Alligator mississippiensis: one gene and its partner. The protein of the gene in region 1 interacts with the protein of each later gene in a pairwise test. Links are inferred from orthologs where the notes say so. Each region holds a gene or a part of one and is shown in the gene's direction. Other genes may lie near its edges.

The links.
Region 2: the proteins of RBBP8 (region 1) and LIMS1 interact in a two-hybrid assay, tested with the Homo sapiens proteins (2 studies listed by BioGRID and IntAct). The two-hybrid records come from large-scale screens. The link is inferred for Alligator mississippiensis from reciprocal best matches to the Homo sapiens genes RBBP8 and LIMS1.

Annotation. Positions count from the first base shown.
Region 1 is NC_081826.1:87,333,765-87,341,838, reverse strand, and holds the start of RBBP8 (DNA endonuclease RBBP8), read left to right. Parts: upstream 1-4,604; 5' UTR 4,605-4,758; intron 4,759-5,211; 5' UTR 5,212-5,270; intron 5,271-8,074. UniProt on the Homo sapiens protein: Endonuclease that cooperates with the MRE11-RAD50-NBN (MRN) complex in DNA-end resection, the first step of double-strand break (DSB) repair through the homologous recombination (HR) pathway.
Region 2 is NC_081824.1:349,550,581-349,558,586, forward strand, and holds the start of LIMS1 (LIM and senescent cell antigen-like-containing domain protein 1), read left to right. Parts: upstream 1-4,727; 5' UTR 4,728-4,875; coding exon 4,876-5,057; intron 5,058-8,006. UniProt on the Homo sapiens protein: Within the IPP (ILK-PINCH-PARVIN) complex, binds to F-actin, promoting F-actin bundling, a process required to generate force for actin cytoskeleton reorganization and subsequent dynamic cell adhesion events such as cell spreading and migration.

The DNA of each region.
Region 1 (8,074 bases):
CAGTGCAGCTCCGGCTGCAGCCTTCTCCTAGCACCACTGGCGCCCTCTACAAGCCCAGCTCCCAGCAAGAAAAGACCCACACAGTGCCGGCTCCACCCCGCAGCTGCAGCCCGCCCTGCACCACACAGATCTGGGGACCCACCCCAGCCTCCCAGGATGCAAGTGGTGGTGGGAGCTGCCCCCACCCCATGAGCTGCGCCTCCATCCCGCGCCCCCCTCCACCCCAGCTGGGCAGAGCCTGCTCTGCACCCTCCCTCACCGCAGGGAGCATTGATCTGCCCCCACAAGCCCTTTCCCTCCCCTCTCCCCTTCCACCACACCAGATCTACCACCTGATGGCAGCTGTATTGGATATTGGATCAGTATCGGCCAATATGCCTCCTTAAATATCGGCTATCGGTATCGGCCCCCAAAATCTCTATCAGTGCACCCCTAGTTTTCACCCTTTTATAAGTTGCCATGTCAAAGGAAGCATATATAAGATTGTTAACCACCAGAGCCCTTAAGCTCTGCTACGTAAAAAAAATAATAAATCCCAGCTGTTAGATTTGAAATGTGCCTAAAAATCCACACTGAGGGATTACAAGTTTAGAATAATTCATTTCTATTTTAAAAGAATATGCTGAAAATATCACTTCAGCAGTTTTGTCATTCATAGAATCATAGAAAATTAGGGTTGGAAAGGGCCTTAATGGGTCATCTAGTTCAATCCACTGCTCAAAGCATGACCATCCCCAACTAGACCATTCCAGCCACAGCTTTGTCAAGCTAGGCTTTAAAAACCTCCAAGGATGAAGATTCCACCATCTTTCTAGGTAACCTGTTCCACTGCTTTACTACCCTCCTAGTGAGAAAGTTTTCCCTAATATCCAGTCTAAACTTCCCTTGCTGCAACTTGAAACCATTGTTCCTTGTTCTGTCATCTGCTGCCACTGAGAACAGTCTAGCTTCGTCCTCTTTGTAAGTACCCTTCAGGTAGTTAAAGGCTGCTATCAAGTTCTCTCCTCCCCCTGCCCCCAATCTTCTTTTCTGCAGATTAAATAAATCCAGTTCCCTGAGGCTCTTCTGACAAGTCATGTGACCCAGCCCCCTAACCATTTTCATTGCCCTCCACTGGACTCTCTCCAACTTGTCCACGTCCTTTCTGAAGTTTAGTGAAAAGAAAGAGTTTTATTTCACTTCTCTTTTTGGAAACCAAACTTCTACATGACACAGATTTCTTGTCCTTAATCATCCAAAAACATACATTATGTATATAGAAAACATAAGAATGTAAGAAATGCCATAGTGGGTTAGACCACAGATCCATCTAATTCAGTAGTCTCTTTCTCACCATGGCATGACTAGATGCTTCAGGGTAAGAGTATTTATGTGTTGAGGTATAGGTTGTAGCTAGGTTGGTCTAAGAGCATAGGCAAACAAGGCCCAAAACACACCGAATGGATCCAGGCCATGCCATGACAAGAAATCTAAAACCTGACAATATATCTCCACCACCCCCACAACAGAACCTTCAGCATTCCTGGATCTCACAGCTGTACCTCCTATATCTCATCCAATGCACCAAATGCCCTGATGGAAAATACATAGGAGAGACGAAACAACAACTGTGTACCAGAATGAACACACACTGGTAATCTATCAAAGACAAGAATACCCAATTACCTGTGGGGGCACATTTATCACAAGAAAAACCACTCTCTCTCCAGTCTCTCAGTTCTAATCCTCAAAGGGAATTTACAAAATACCTTTCACAGATGAGCCTACAAACTTCACTTCATCAACCTACTGGATCAAAAAATCATGGACTAAGTATAGACATTGGATTTATGACATATACCTGCCTAACATCTGACTCCCCGGGTACCTCTCCACTATTTACCAGCTACATTCACCCTCCCCACCCCCAGCCTCTCTCTCACCCATTGACTCTTCAACTTACATAGTCACTGACTGATTTTCTTGCATGTATACCAGCCCCTGGCTGCTTTACTATTCATTCCAACCAGGAAGACCACAGACCAATTGCAGATGCTTTCTCAGCCTGAAGAAGGGTGTTTGTGCTCAAAAGCTTAAAAAGAAAAATAATGTTTAATAAAAGACATCCAATTTACCCAAAGAACCTTGTCTGCCAGAGTATTTATGTGAAACCTATCCAGATGATCTATCCCCTGCCCCTCTCCTCTGTGGCTTCCAGGTTCAGATGTTTAGGAAATCCTGATTTTGAGGTTAGACTCAAAACTAACATATCTAATAGCAACTGATGGACCTCTGATTTTTTCCAGTTCCCTCTTGAACTGATTAAATTATCAGCCATTACAATACCTTGTGGCAATGAGTTCTAGGAGTTAATTACAGTCAAACTCTTAACAGGATAAGGTATTTCTAAAATTAACACTAACTGTGGATGAACTTTAAAAAATATACCTCAGTCTGTTAGGTGATATAATATTGCCAACATTAGAAATACCAAAATCAAATAAATCATATGATTTTTTCCTCAGTATATTTCATATTCAGTATGAAATCAAGTATATGTGCAACACTTCTAATGAGTCTATATATCTTTACAATCTAAATAATACACTTTACAATTTAAATACAATAAAGAGGATTGAATTAACCACTTTAAAAATAGACCCATTTCTGGAAAGAATGTAGCAGCCATTTAGTACTGCTCAGCAGCACTGCACAACATTTTGGGAAACAAAATGAAGAATACTGTCTCCAATTGAAACTTCCAGAGAAATTTTATTTCAAATTTGACAAGGATACTTGTTAAAAATCTACATCTTATGTGAAAAATGCTAGGAAATAATTAAAAATCCCAAGTTTCCACATCTTCTGTTTCATATTTTATCACAAATATGGTACCTTTAGCACTCTGTACTCCCTGTCTAATGCTTGCATTGCTTCATAACTACTCAGTACCGCCTACTGAATCACCAAAACCACTTCCTGCGGCAGTTTTACTTGTTAAGACTCTTAGCCAAGTACTGACCAAACCCAACCCTGCTTAGCTGCATAAAATCATAGCCTTAGGTGGTATGACTGCAAGCATAAACAGCGAACATCTGTCAACTTGGCTGAAAGTTAGGAATCTCATTGCCTTCTCCAGTGGTAGCTCCTACTTTCCAAATACTTCACAAAATATAGCCTCACATTCAGCTTTACCTTCACACAGGACAACAGATACTTCAGTAGGTTTCTTGCAAACATCTCCATTCCTTGCTTTGATCTATGCTGGGCTATGATGAAAAAGTGGTTGCATTGCATAAGCTTGGTTAAAGGTGAGGCTTATTTCCTCTGCTCTAAGCATTGGAGGTTGAATAGCTATTAAAATTCATAAATAACAAGTAGGGATCTGAAGAAGTATATACAAATTCCATGATTAGGTTACATCATGAATAAATGTACATGTTTCTAACTTTACCAATGCCTTTGTCAAGCCTAAGTACTGGTCCTAAAGTGAGGCTCTTAAGTAAAAGTTAAATGAGCCCCAATTATGCCTCTAGAAACCTCACCTTAGGTAAATACAGTCTAATTTTATGAGTGTTAAATATCTACAACCATTGGCTTCAGGAGAAGACAGAGGTACTTAGCACCTTTGAAAATCATGTAACAAACTGTATAAATTCTGGTCTGTGTTCCTGTTTGGAAGAAGGTAATACCAGGCAAATCCTGGTCTCTGCATATAGCTAGAATACATAGGCTTTGCTCAGAGCAGTTCTGTAAGTATTCTTGTCCCCACACTATCCAGGGGCTGCACTGTAGCTCCTACTGCAGGGTGCTATAGTAGCATGCCCAGCAGCTTTGTCCTCTCTACCACAGAAGGGTGATGACATCTAAGTAGTTCTGCACAGGGGTGGGTGCACTGCACACACATTGCACTGCCTCTAACCCTGGAAAATCTTTTTACAGAACCAGATGACATGTGGGCAGATACAGCCCTACAGAGAACATGAGTTTCAAACCTTCTGTGCAAGCTCTCTCAGCATCCTTTCTCTATATGCAAGGGAAGACTTGTTTCCAATAGGTAAGATAGTATCTATGGATGGGGAGAGGTCTTAAGAGGAGAGCAGAATTTGTTAATGTTTTGTTTTTGTCATGACAGTTGTGCTAAATATGTGGTGTTATTTAATTACAATAAACTTATGTTGTTATTGCTTTAAAATAGTTTTCTTCCCTGTTTATGCTAGTGAAAAGTAAATCTCCTAAAACAATGCATTTCGTAATGCAATGAAAGAGTTTACAACAATAGGATCTTTCTGGATTTGACATGGATATATCACTCCCTCATCCCTCAGCAAATTATTTTGCTGGAGGCTACATCATTCTATCAGTGGTGCGCTGGGAGTTGACGGAGGCGTGAATAATTCACCATCTACGAAGCCTAGCTGAACTGAGTTGAGCTGCAGCATGTTAGGCTGGCCTTTGATGCAGACTGGTTGGGCAGGTTCCTGTTCTACTGAGAAACCGGTTTGGCAGGCCTGTTATGCCAACAAATTCTGGTATGATTCCATGTTCTACAGAATGTAGAAACCTGCCCAGCCAGTTAAATGAAAGGCATATTAGGTTATCCATTGCACATTGTATATATCTTAGGTGCAGCAGATCTCATCTCAGCATTCTTCAGTGTGGTCCACAGTGAATTCCTCATCTCACTTATGCTTTAGGTTTATAGCTTGAGGGGAAGTCAGCAGTAAGTATTCACCTTCCCTGATCAAGAACAGAACCTTTCACAATTAAAACAAAAGGGTGAGTTTTAAAAAAAAAATTTTAAAGTAATTTAAGAAAATCTAACTCTGAAATTCAGTGTTACTGCACTTAAATTTGTAGTGAATGTTTTTTGTATGGATCTGTTTACTATATACCATTAGCTCCAGCTTCTGTGTTTCTAAGTGACATCATTTGTATAACTTCTGACACTTCTGTATGTAGGTAAACATCAGCTATTCCATCTTTATCTAATAACATTTAATGGAGAGAATTGTCTAATTAATTGTACAGTAGTAGGAGACAGGAATATCTGAATACTAATTAGGGTGTTGCCATTGACTCGGTGTATCAACTTGGGCAAGTCACTTAACTGTCTTAAGACAGAACCATCTCAGAGGGGTATTGTGATAAGGTAAAGTGTTATAAGGTACTAAATGTTGATACTATTATCTATTTCTTGTTAGACCAACACTTTTATTTTAAATTTTGCAGGTTTATGGAATAACTTACTTGGCAAAATTTGGTTTAGCACATGCATAACTGACTTAGTGGTGAGTGTTGAAAGCAAACTGTTTCTTAAAAATAAAGAACTATTATTAACTTTCCCTTACTTACCAAATAAAGGCTTCACAAACATGTTTTGTGTGTAATAAGTAATTCAGAGTAGCAATACAAATATAAATGAATCCAAATAATAAACCTACTCCTGACAGCTCTGAAATTTGTGAGGGTTTGGGCTCTGGATCGTTTACAAGTACAGCGTCAAATAAGGAAAAATAAATGGCATAGAAAACAAAAGCTCTGGAATCTGGTAACTGATTAACTACTGGAACTCAGGAAGTACTAGCTGAGCTGAACAGAAAGGAATGAAGACAGGTTTTGTCATGCCTGTTAGGACAAAATGATTCTTTAGCTGAAGTAAATGTGAATCTTCCTGTCATCTGTGTAACTAAACTTTTGAAAACCATCCTCTAACCACTTCCATGTCCCCAGGAAGCTTATTTTAGTGTGTCTTTAGATAAAATAATTACAGTTCACCTGTGTGATGTGATGTAATGAACAATTTTGTGCCTGATGAATTGTATTTTAGTGTTGCTTAAGGGAAATGAAGGTATGTATAGGAGTATGTGAGACTCAGGATAATAATCTTGTAACAGAACCCTTATCATGGTAAGTATTTACTATACGCCATTTACAGGTTGATGTAAAAATTTACATCTTGTTTATAACTCTTTAGTAGAATACCAGTAAATAGGCTTCCTGAGCACCTAAAAGCTCTGAATGGAAGGCTGAAATAACCTTCTCACTGGTAGCACTGAGTCTGCTTGTTAAAACTAGAGATTTTCTTCAAAGTGTGGGAAAAAGAGCAAGAAGAAAAAGATGTTTCTTCTGTATAGGCTGAGAATACTGTTTAGAAGAAATAGTTTAATTTTAGGGGTTAAAATTTCTGATTGCTGATGAAAATTATAAATCATTAAAGGAAGTGTTGCATATTTTAAAGAATATGTAATTTTCCCAAAATAGGGAACATGAATAACCAGTTAAACTGCTCGTTATCTGATGTACATTTTGTCAGGTGATAAGTTTAATTCATAAAAATATTTCCTGCATCTGTTTTGGTAGTAGCATATGTGTATTTGTGTATATCAAACATTTCTGATCCAGTGTTCTAGTTAATGGTAATTGAATAGCATTGTGTTCTAGTGATAAGAGAATGAGTTAGACATTCCGTTCATTACAGTCATGGTCTGCCTCTCCATCTCTTGGTGCATAAATTCCCTTGCTATAAAATTGTGGTGGTAATACTTTGCAGGGTTGTTGCAAGGCTTAATTAATTAATGTCTCCAGAGAATTTTGAGATCCTTAGATGAAACGCACCACAGCAGTACAGTAAAATAGTACCATTATTTGCATTCTTACTCTAGTAGTATATCAATGGTTGCTTGAAGCCCTGCTATTAAAAAAGACATTGTCAAGAAATGTAAGTGCTTAATTTGTTCTTATTCAAAAGCTACTTTGTACCTGGTAGAAGATGCCTTCTAAACTATAAAATGGTTCCACAGTAATTTGTTTTCCAAGTCTTGAGCCCTGGAACACAGCATATTTGTTAAATTTCAACTAAATAGTGAGCCATGTGAATTAATAGTTGCCCACGCTCCTAAAGTAACTGGTTTTGTGTTTAGTTTTGGCAGAAGTGTCTGTTTTTGACAGATATGCCATATATTACATATGGCTTTGACAGTTTTTCCTCTAAAATTCTCATCATTCACATAGAAAGCAACATGAGTTCTGGGCTGGTAAACTTTCATGATTTTCCATGGCTGAAATAAACACATTATGCCATTAGAACAGCTACACAGTACTTATACACTTAGGATTCCTCTCTGGATTATATTAATAAAACTCAGGCACATTGCTGCTTAGAGTCTTTGAACCAAGCATACTTGCTAACTATTCAAATTAAGCTCACAGGAAAAAATAGATAAATAGTATCAGGCTGATAAATGGAAAAGGATCAGAGTGAGAGAGACTATTTTGGAGGTAACTATGGCTGCACTAGTCTGGACGTGGCAATGTGGTATGTGGCGCTGCATACATGTCTGCAGTGCTATATACCACACGTTCAGTTGTTCTCTGTGTCACAAGGGAGCAGCACGGAGGGATTTTTTGACCCCTGGACACCAGGGATCAAAAAAACCTGCAGAGAAAAGACATGGAGTGATACGCGGTGGCAGCGTGGGTTGGCCAAAGTGGAGCCTGGCCAGCCAGAGCTGCATTCTGCTGCTGGCCAGGCTCTGCACGTCAGGATCACCACTGATGCAGCCCTTGGAGGCCACCAGAACCCTAAGTAAGGCTGCTGGGGCCAGCCCAGTGCTGGCCTCAGCCTACCCTATCCTACCAGGGGTAACTTGACATGTGCCAGCACGTGCATGACAGATGTTTCCTGGGGCCTAGCAGCAGCACAAGGTGCACTGCCGCTAGTTGTCCCTAGGGAACCAAATGTCCATGCACATCTAGACATGGCCTATAGGTCCAATCCTTCCAATAAGTACTTACTTACAAGTAGTCCTTTTGGAGCCACTGAACTAAGCACTATCTTTGGTAGTCAGTAGATGTAGGATTGGACGGTATCTAATTGTGTGCTTATAGGCTAGCTATCAGTGGTCCTACTGCTTCTATTCCATACACTACCATGATGCCTGAGCAATGCAGAGGTTATGATGCTAATACAACTCTCTCTCATCCCTTCTTCATGTGGGTTAGTAGTGCTAGAGCAAGAGGGTCAAGAATAATGTTTTAATGCCAAAAACTAATGCTACAAGTAAGTTCACTGTATTTATTTACATGTATAAAA
Region 2 (8,006 bases), on another chromosome or scaffold:
AGCTTGAGCTTGCTCTTACCTGCCTTATTTTCTGGGCTGGGGCACATTGATTGAGCATCACTGTGATTGAACATCACTGGCCTAGAGCTTTCACAGTTGAACACTCAGAGCTTACCTGCCAGAAAGCCATTTTGTTACTGAATGAAGAGGCCTAGGAACTGTAAAAGCATCTAGCATACAAAATGCATCTGACAGCTGGCCAGTTATTCCTTTATAATACAAGCTTGCTGCGCCTTCTGTTCCACTTGAAGATGTGCCTCTGTTATCCATTTGTTTATAACAGTGGAAAGGGAAAATGAGGGCCATGCATCGCTCTCCTCCCCAGATAGGAAAGGGGAAATTCAGGGAGGGGCAGAATGAAGAGACACGTAGGAGCCATTGGTATGAGGAGGGATTGGCTTTTGGGGTCCCACAGGCATACAGGGGGATGGGAAAGTAGCATACAGAGGGCTTCGTGGGCAAGAAAAATAGAGGGAAACAAAGGAATCTTGGCATTTCCAATGAGCTTAGCCTGTAGAAACAACAGGTGTTTATTCTAGTCCATAGGTTGGCAAGCTTTTCAGAGCATCAGGCTGAAATAACACAGCTCAGTTCCAGAAAGGCCAGCACTTCCAAACCAGCCGCCACTGCTACTTTTCTCCACCTCTAAAATGCTTCTGATATCCAGGCTTTACTCTGTGTTAAAACATTTAAATGGGAGGTGCCTTACCAGTACAAATACAGTTTGGCCCTTTTTGTGTGCTTTTGTTTGCACCTTGAACTTATTCCCCTGGATGAATGCTTTACAATCCAGGAGGATTTTTTAAATTCATAAACTGGGAAACTGTAAACCCTAATGGTGCCCAATGGGCACCATGTTAAGACTGTGCGGGCCGGGAGCAGTCCGAGGCCCTTTTTATTCGCGCGGCGGGCTGTGGCCAGCAGCCCGGACACGCCGGGTCGGGGAAGGCAGGTGGCACGCTAGAATTAGGCACAGACGCTTAATGGTTGATTTAAGATTGTTTACTTACACTGTAGATGGTCGTGGTGCAGGCTGGAAAACTTCCAGGAAAACTTCGCTTAAGTCCCAGTTTAAGGACTCGGACAGAGCTCTGGATTCACTCACACGAAGTTTGCTAGGCTCCGTGGAACTTGTGCGCACAGGGAAGGGTATGTCAAGGGATTAGGCGGCGACGGGGAGAGGCGAGAGGCTGATCAGACCCCTATAGCCTTCTTGAAATACACGCTGGGTCCAATAGGCTCCGCAGCGCTTAGAGATCTTCACGAGACGTGAAGTCTCCTCCTCCTGATGTTCGTGGAGTCCTCCAACTTGGGCGGAAACCACTCAAGCCTCTTATATGGCTAGCAAGCCAATCGCTAGCCACCACGTAGGAATAATTTAGAACTGACCAATAGTGGGGCACGAATTTGAATACAAATGGCGGGAACTCCTTGCAACGTGCATTTCTGTGTTGCAACCCTGCAAAGAAAGCTACAAGTGGCGGGAAATAATTCAGCAGTGCCGAAGCACACACAAACAAAAATCACACCCTTGGGTTGTGACAAAGACTACTTCTTGATGCACGCTAGCCCTGGGTTAATGATACAGTATCATGATGAAGCTTCTTTGCCTTCTTAGTTCCACAGGAAGGGCAGGATTAATCAATAAAAGAGTGGCACTAAGGCTTAGTAGAGGAACAGTGTGTGTCAAGATGGCACTAGGACCCTGCTCCCATCATCGCAGTTTCTGTCTGAAGCCACAGGGAGAGGGTTCAGCCTTCACTTGTCCCTACTGCCAAATGCTGCCAAAGCCGCATGTCTGCAGCTTTTGATTGCAGACTCCTGCTCTAACAGATTAAAGTACTTGTAAATGTTCCACAGAAACAGCTACAGATTTTGTCTCCTGTCCATGCACCTGCCACATATTTTGTTTCAAGATTACACTGTGGGGGCGTGGGAACGGGGGAGGAAAAATGTTTGATTCAGACATCATTATATGAAGTACAGGTGGTGCTAAGTCCTGTCTCCATTATACTGGTAAAGTGTCTTTTAAGTACTTTAAAAAAAATCTCACCTCCTTAATTAGTGACAGGTAGCACGTCAGGTTCAGTTTGTGTCTACATGACAGCAATTCTGGCATCAAAGCCATGTTGGAGTGTGTGACCCAGTGCTTCTGCTGAGCCATATGCTAAAGGCATGTCCTGTGACACCCCAGGCTGCAATCCAGTGAGTTTTTAGTCTGTGGCTAGAATGCCTGTAGGACCTGCCCACAGAAAACTGCAAGCTGCACATGGGGGAAGCATGCTCCAGAGCGTCATACAGCCAAGAGAAAGTGGATGTAGGACAGGCGCAAACCAGTTGCACAACATCTCTGTTTGTCCCTTACAGCAAAAACACAGCTTGGTGGCAGAAAAACAGCCAAGTGTCAGACTAGGCCTCTGCTTAGGGTGTCTTGCTGCCATTTTTAACCATACTCAATGTTGCCTCGAACATTATTTAGAGTCAGCCAGCTGTGCCGATGTTATTTTCAACATGGTCAAAAATTGTAGTACAAACAGGGCCTTTCCTTTTTTTTAAAGCCACTGGCATTTCCTAAGAAACAGAAGCTTTATTGGAGTTCCCTTAATATTGTCAGTTTTCTGTGTTTGCGAGCTCAAGTGTTCGTTCCTAGTTAGTCTCTCCCTGATCTCTGCCCTGGCTTTCTCATGCTACACAGTAACAAGCATAGATACCAAAACCACTCCTGTCGACAATGTAACCTGTGCGTGGCTTTACTGTGCATTTTTAACCAGTTGCTAATGAGAGTCTGTTGATTGTGACACATCACTTAGTTACTTGGGCTATCCATTTCAGTTTGAAAGTCCAAAGCTGTTAGAGGTTGGGCCTGTCATCTGTGTCACAGGTATCAGATTTTAACCAGCTAGAGTATGGCAAGAGAGCATAGTTACTGGCTGCCAGTCCTGACTTTATCTGACCTTCCTATGGAACCGAAAGATGCATAATCTCCTGGGGTGAGATAACTACTCTAAGAGGCCTGCCATTGGTAGAACATGGAAAATGATATTGTTTTTAAGAAGAATGTAGCATTAAAATAATATGAAAAAATGGTGTCATTCAGCATCAGGAATTGTCATCCATGTGATAACAGGATGGTTTTCTCTCTTCTCTTCCCTTTTCAGATTTCCAATCTGTATAGGACTTTTTCTATGAGTACAGTGCTGCAAGCACAGCCTGGTAACTGAAAATCAAGTTTGTTATCACTGTTTCTTACATAGTTAACTACACCTTTCTTGGCAATTCTGTTAATGAAAGGAAAATGGAAAAAAAACCCTCTACTTTTCTAGGAAGAAAATTGTTATGGGATCAGAATAATATGGTTGGTAGGAACCACTAAGAAGTCATTTAATCCAGCAATTGGTAGCCTTTTTGTGGTGACAGGCTGGAATAACCTCCACACACTCTACCTAGCTGCAATGCAACATAGCATGAATGAGGCCCTCCTGCTCCATGAATACCACTAGAGTCCTCTTGGATCTATAGGCTCTGCAGAGTAGACTGTAGGTTACCATATCCATTGGCTACAGCCCAGAGACTATAGGATACCAACCCCTGATCTTGGACAGCCCTTTCTGATCAAGGAAGACTCATGACTATTTAAACCAGAGGTGTCAAAGTGATCAGGCTCCATGGGCTGGATGAGTGGCACAGGACCAGTGCATAGGCCAGGTGAATAACTCAGGGCCAGCCCTGCAGGCCAAATGAGTCCCATGCCCTTCCTCACATGCTAGATACAGCAGCTGCTCCAGCCAGTCTGGGATGTGGATCACACACAGCATATGTCCCAAACCGGTTGTGCAGCACAGTCCTAGAGCAAGCGCCACGGCTATTAGATTTGGTGTGTGGCGGGCGGAGGGGTCCTGAACTGGCTGTGTGCGGGTGCTGCTTGTAGTGCAGGTCTCAGAGTGGTCTGCACATGCAATGCATGTCCTACACTGGCTGGAGCAGGCATCGCATTTGGCATGTCTTGGGCCCTACGCATGGGGCCAGTCCAGTGCACACCTCACGTGGTTCAACTCGAGACTCAGGGGCAGGGGCCAGCTGTTGGACCCCATGGGCCATACCTTTGATACCTCGGTTTAAACCATTTTAGCCAAGTGTTTGCCTAACTCTCAGTTAAAAATGTGTGGTGATGAAGGAGATTCCACAACCTCTTTAGGTAGTTTGTTCTAGTGATTAACCACCCTCTTAGTGAGAGAGTTCATCCATCTAAATTTCCCTTGCTGCAGTTTAAGTCCTTGTTGATCTATAATCTCAGACTACTTAACTAAGAATGACTCGTTAGTAGTGCAAAAGGCTATTTTTACAATTTAGTTTGCCAGAAGTTTAAAAACAATCTTCATCTAGTGACAAAATATTTCTTGTATGTTTTTCAGTGTTAGTGTTTTCATGATAAAGTAGCATTGTGGTCATTTTTTTTCTACCTAGTACTTTTTTCCTCTAGTAACTTGATGAGCTTGACAATGAATGTGTTCACTTGCACAGGTTTACTCATAAAATAGCTCTTCTGTGCCTGACTAGAATTCTTCTATCGGCAATAGATAGTGAAGCCCTGATGTACTGTCCAAGTTTGTATTACAACCTTGTAATGGAATGTGTTCCTCAGCTTCCAATGACCCCTTAGTAAATAGCAGCATGACGTTCTAGCTGCTCTGCCGCTGAGCTCTTAACGTGAAGCTCTACCAGAGTGCTCGACAAGCCGAGCTAACTGACATGACACTGTGAAAATAAATCACTTCCCTGGGAACAAGGAGGATTCCTGCGTATTGTTTCTCTGGATTTTTGTCTGCAGCTTCCTTTTGAGTATTACAGTGGATTTTTCATAATAGTTAACGAAGGATGGAATTCCAAAGCAGAGCTCGCTCCTATCTGATTCCAGAGACTGAAGACGCTCCACACAAGGTCCCTCAGGATGCCTACAATATCAGAGGAAATGAAGGCGAAAAACCAGTGTCAAAATTACAGCGTAGGCACAGTGAAATAAAAGTATACAAAGAGTTTTGTGACTTTTACGCAAGATCGTAAGTTCACTTGCTCAGCATTTGGATGTTATTTGACAGATCACCTTTTAACATCTGTAGTTGTCTTTACTCGTTTTATTTTGTATAGAATAGGATTGATCCATTCTCTAGTGCAATTCCACTTGTTGTGATTGATTAATTGGTAGTTTTCATCCCCACGTGATTTTTTTAATGAACTATTTTGCACTTGCAAATCAAATTATGTGTGTGAGACTTGGATATTAGTTTGTACAAATTTTGGGGGAAAAGGTACAAATGATCTTACTGGTACCATAACTTTCTATTTATTACATTTTGGTGGATAATTATTGATTACCATAACAAATAGTAAGCTTATGTTGCCATTAGGAAATTTTGACATTTCTCAAAGTAAAGTGAATTAAGTATTTGAGAGTTCTGCAGGGAGAAAAGAAAGCTTTGAGGGCGAGGAGTTTTTTGTTTGTTTGTTTGTTTCTGGGTTTTTTTGGTTTTGCTAAAAGCTATGCTTTTCGAAGTTTCTTCACCAACTACTTCTGGTTAGATAGTACTTTGTATCCAAGAAATGCTTGAAGTTAAATTCTAAGGTACAATATCTGTTCACCTTTTCTATGCAAAAGCTGTTGAGCTATAGAAAAGGTTGCAAGTTATACTGTGTTCAATATTCACACCAAATCTGGACACTTTTTCAGTAGATAGGGTGTGAAATAACCTGTTTCCCTTTGAAAAAGCACAATAGTTTTGACAGAAGTAGTTTATGAAGAGAGGCAGTTAGCAATACAGCTAGACATTCTTTACGTTTCTTATTTGTGCGTGCGTGCATGCGTGCACACACATGTACATTTGCTTGAAACCCTGTGAGAAATGGAATACTCTTGATCTGATACTCTTGAGGTTTATGTGGAAAATGCAGCTACTGTCACCCTCTTCTGAAAAGAGTTGTAGAATAGAAAAACCAGCAGATTACTAATAACCAGGCAAGTGCTGTTTTAAGCAGGGCTTGCTATTTTTCTGTGGTGTAGTGTTAGGTAGTAGTTCTCAGCTTCAGGACCGAACACAGGCATGGGCGAACCGGGCAGCTGCCCAGGGCCCAGACAAATAGGGGGCTTGAAAATGGTCATTTTTTTATTAATAGTATCATTATCTCTGGCGAAGCGGGGCCTGATACTAAAAGTTCGTGTGGGGCCACCAGGAGTCTATGTACGGTGCTGCTCAACTTCTTCAGATTTGAGGCACCCCTCATTAGACAGCACCCCTCAGAAAATGTTGGTTTTTACTAGTTTTGTGACTATAAAAAATACTAGAGCAATTATTCTGTTGCAAAGAACTCAAAACGACCACAGCAGGATAGAAGGTTTCTGACACGATTGATTCCTATTTGAAATCACTGGTTTTATCTTATGAATCATGTTGGAGCACCTAACAGTGCTAATATCACCCTTTAAAAGATCTCTCAGTTTCCTTGTTGAGACTTACTGGTATAAAGAATATAGTTCCTCAGTTTGGAACCATTTAATAAGAACTGTGTTAATTATTGTTGGCACTCCCTCAATTCAAGGATGATCTCTGCCAAGGCTCATTGATGGGTCTTGAGGTGATTTAGGAGTCTAGTCCTTGAATCACAGATCTGTTCACAATCTGTGTTAATGTAATACCATGAACCGACGCAAGTTTTGTACAGAGGAAGTCAGTTGGAGTTGAGGACACTAATACCTGTAAAGTAATACTCAGCATCCAGCCTTTTTGGCAGGCATGCCACAAATTGGCCCTGTGCTGTCCCTGAGTGTGCCTACATGAGGCATTTACTGTAAAGCTGACCAATTAATTCTGCAGTAAATGTCTCTGTGTCTCGACATGCACCCCTGTTAGGATGCAGGAAACTAATATAAACTCTGCAGCAGAGTATTTACAAGTCCTACCCTGCAGCAGTTTTTTGTGCACAGCTGCACATGTGTAGACTCAGACCCAACTGCCTAGGGCATGAGGGTGCTTCAGTGCAGAGGCTGTCTGCTGGCTTGCCCCACACTGGAGCACACTTGTGCCCTATCCAGCCCCTGTGCAACACATTGAGCCTGGTCAGAGCAGCTCCAGGCTGGCAGGCTGACCCCCCTGACTCCCTGCCAGCCGAGGCTGCTCAGACCTGGCTCGGTATGCTGCAGTTTGGGCACGCATCTAAACCACGTGCCAGGGAGCTTCCCAGGAGCAATAAACTTGGAAGCAAAAAACTGCCGAGTTTATTGCTCATGTGTAGATGTACCCCTCTGAGTGCCATTCTAATCCCCATGCTCTGCCTGGTCTGGTGCTCTGTTTTCTGCTCCCTACCTTGTACTTTGCCCAGTCTCCAGCTCTGCTTTCTGTGACTGTGCTGCTTCTCCTCTCCCTGATCTGCCATGAGCCATACACACAGGCCGCCTGTGGCACTTGTGCTGCAGGTTGGCAACCCTTGTTATAGAGGATGTTGCTCTCCCTTTATATGGATGCAACATGACTTCCTGTCAAACACAGAAATCATCTTTTTACTTACTGAAGAATAGAAACAGTTTCTCTTATAAAAATACCTCAGTCAATCATCTTACCAGAAAATTCACATCCCTTAAATGGGTTTTATCTATACTCTATAACTGTTCTGCAAGTGGTTTGCCAAATATTCTTAAATTGATCATTTGCCCTGTATTTGCTCCCCACATAAAGGTACAGGTAGAGAGCTCTGCCTCAAAGACTTTTGTGAATTTAGGTGTAAGCAGGGAAACAGCGTAAAGTCCGAGGGCTTAAAAAAATTAGAGCCAGGTCCCCCAGTTGACAGATATGGAGCAATGCTGATTTATTGCAGTTGAATATTCAAACCTAAAGAGTGAGTTTGGTTTCTGATTTTTGCAGATGTTGCATTAACATTTTATTACAAATGCCTAGGAACCCAGAAGTACCTAGGTTATTTACGTGGGTGGTTTTCAAGTCTCTGATTCAGATTCCATG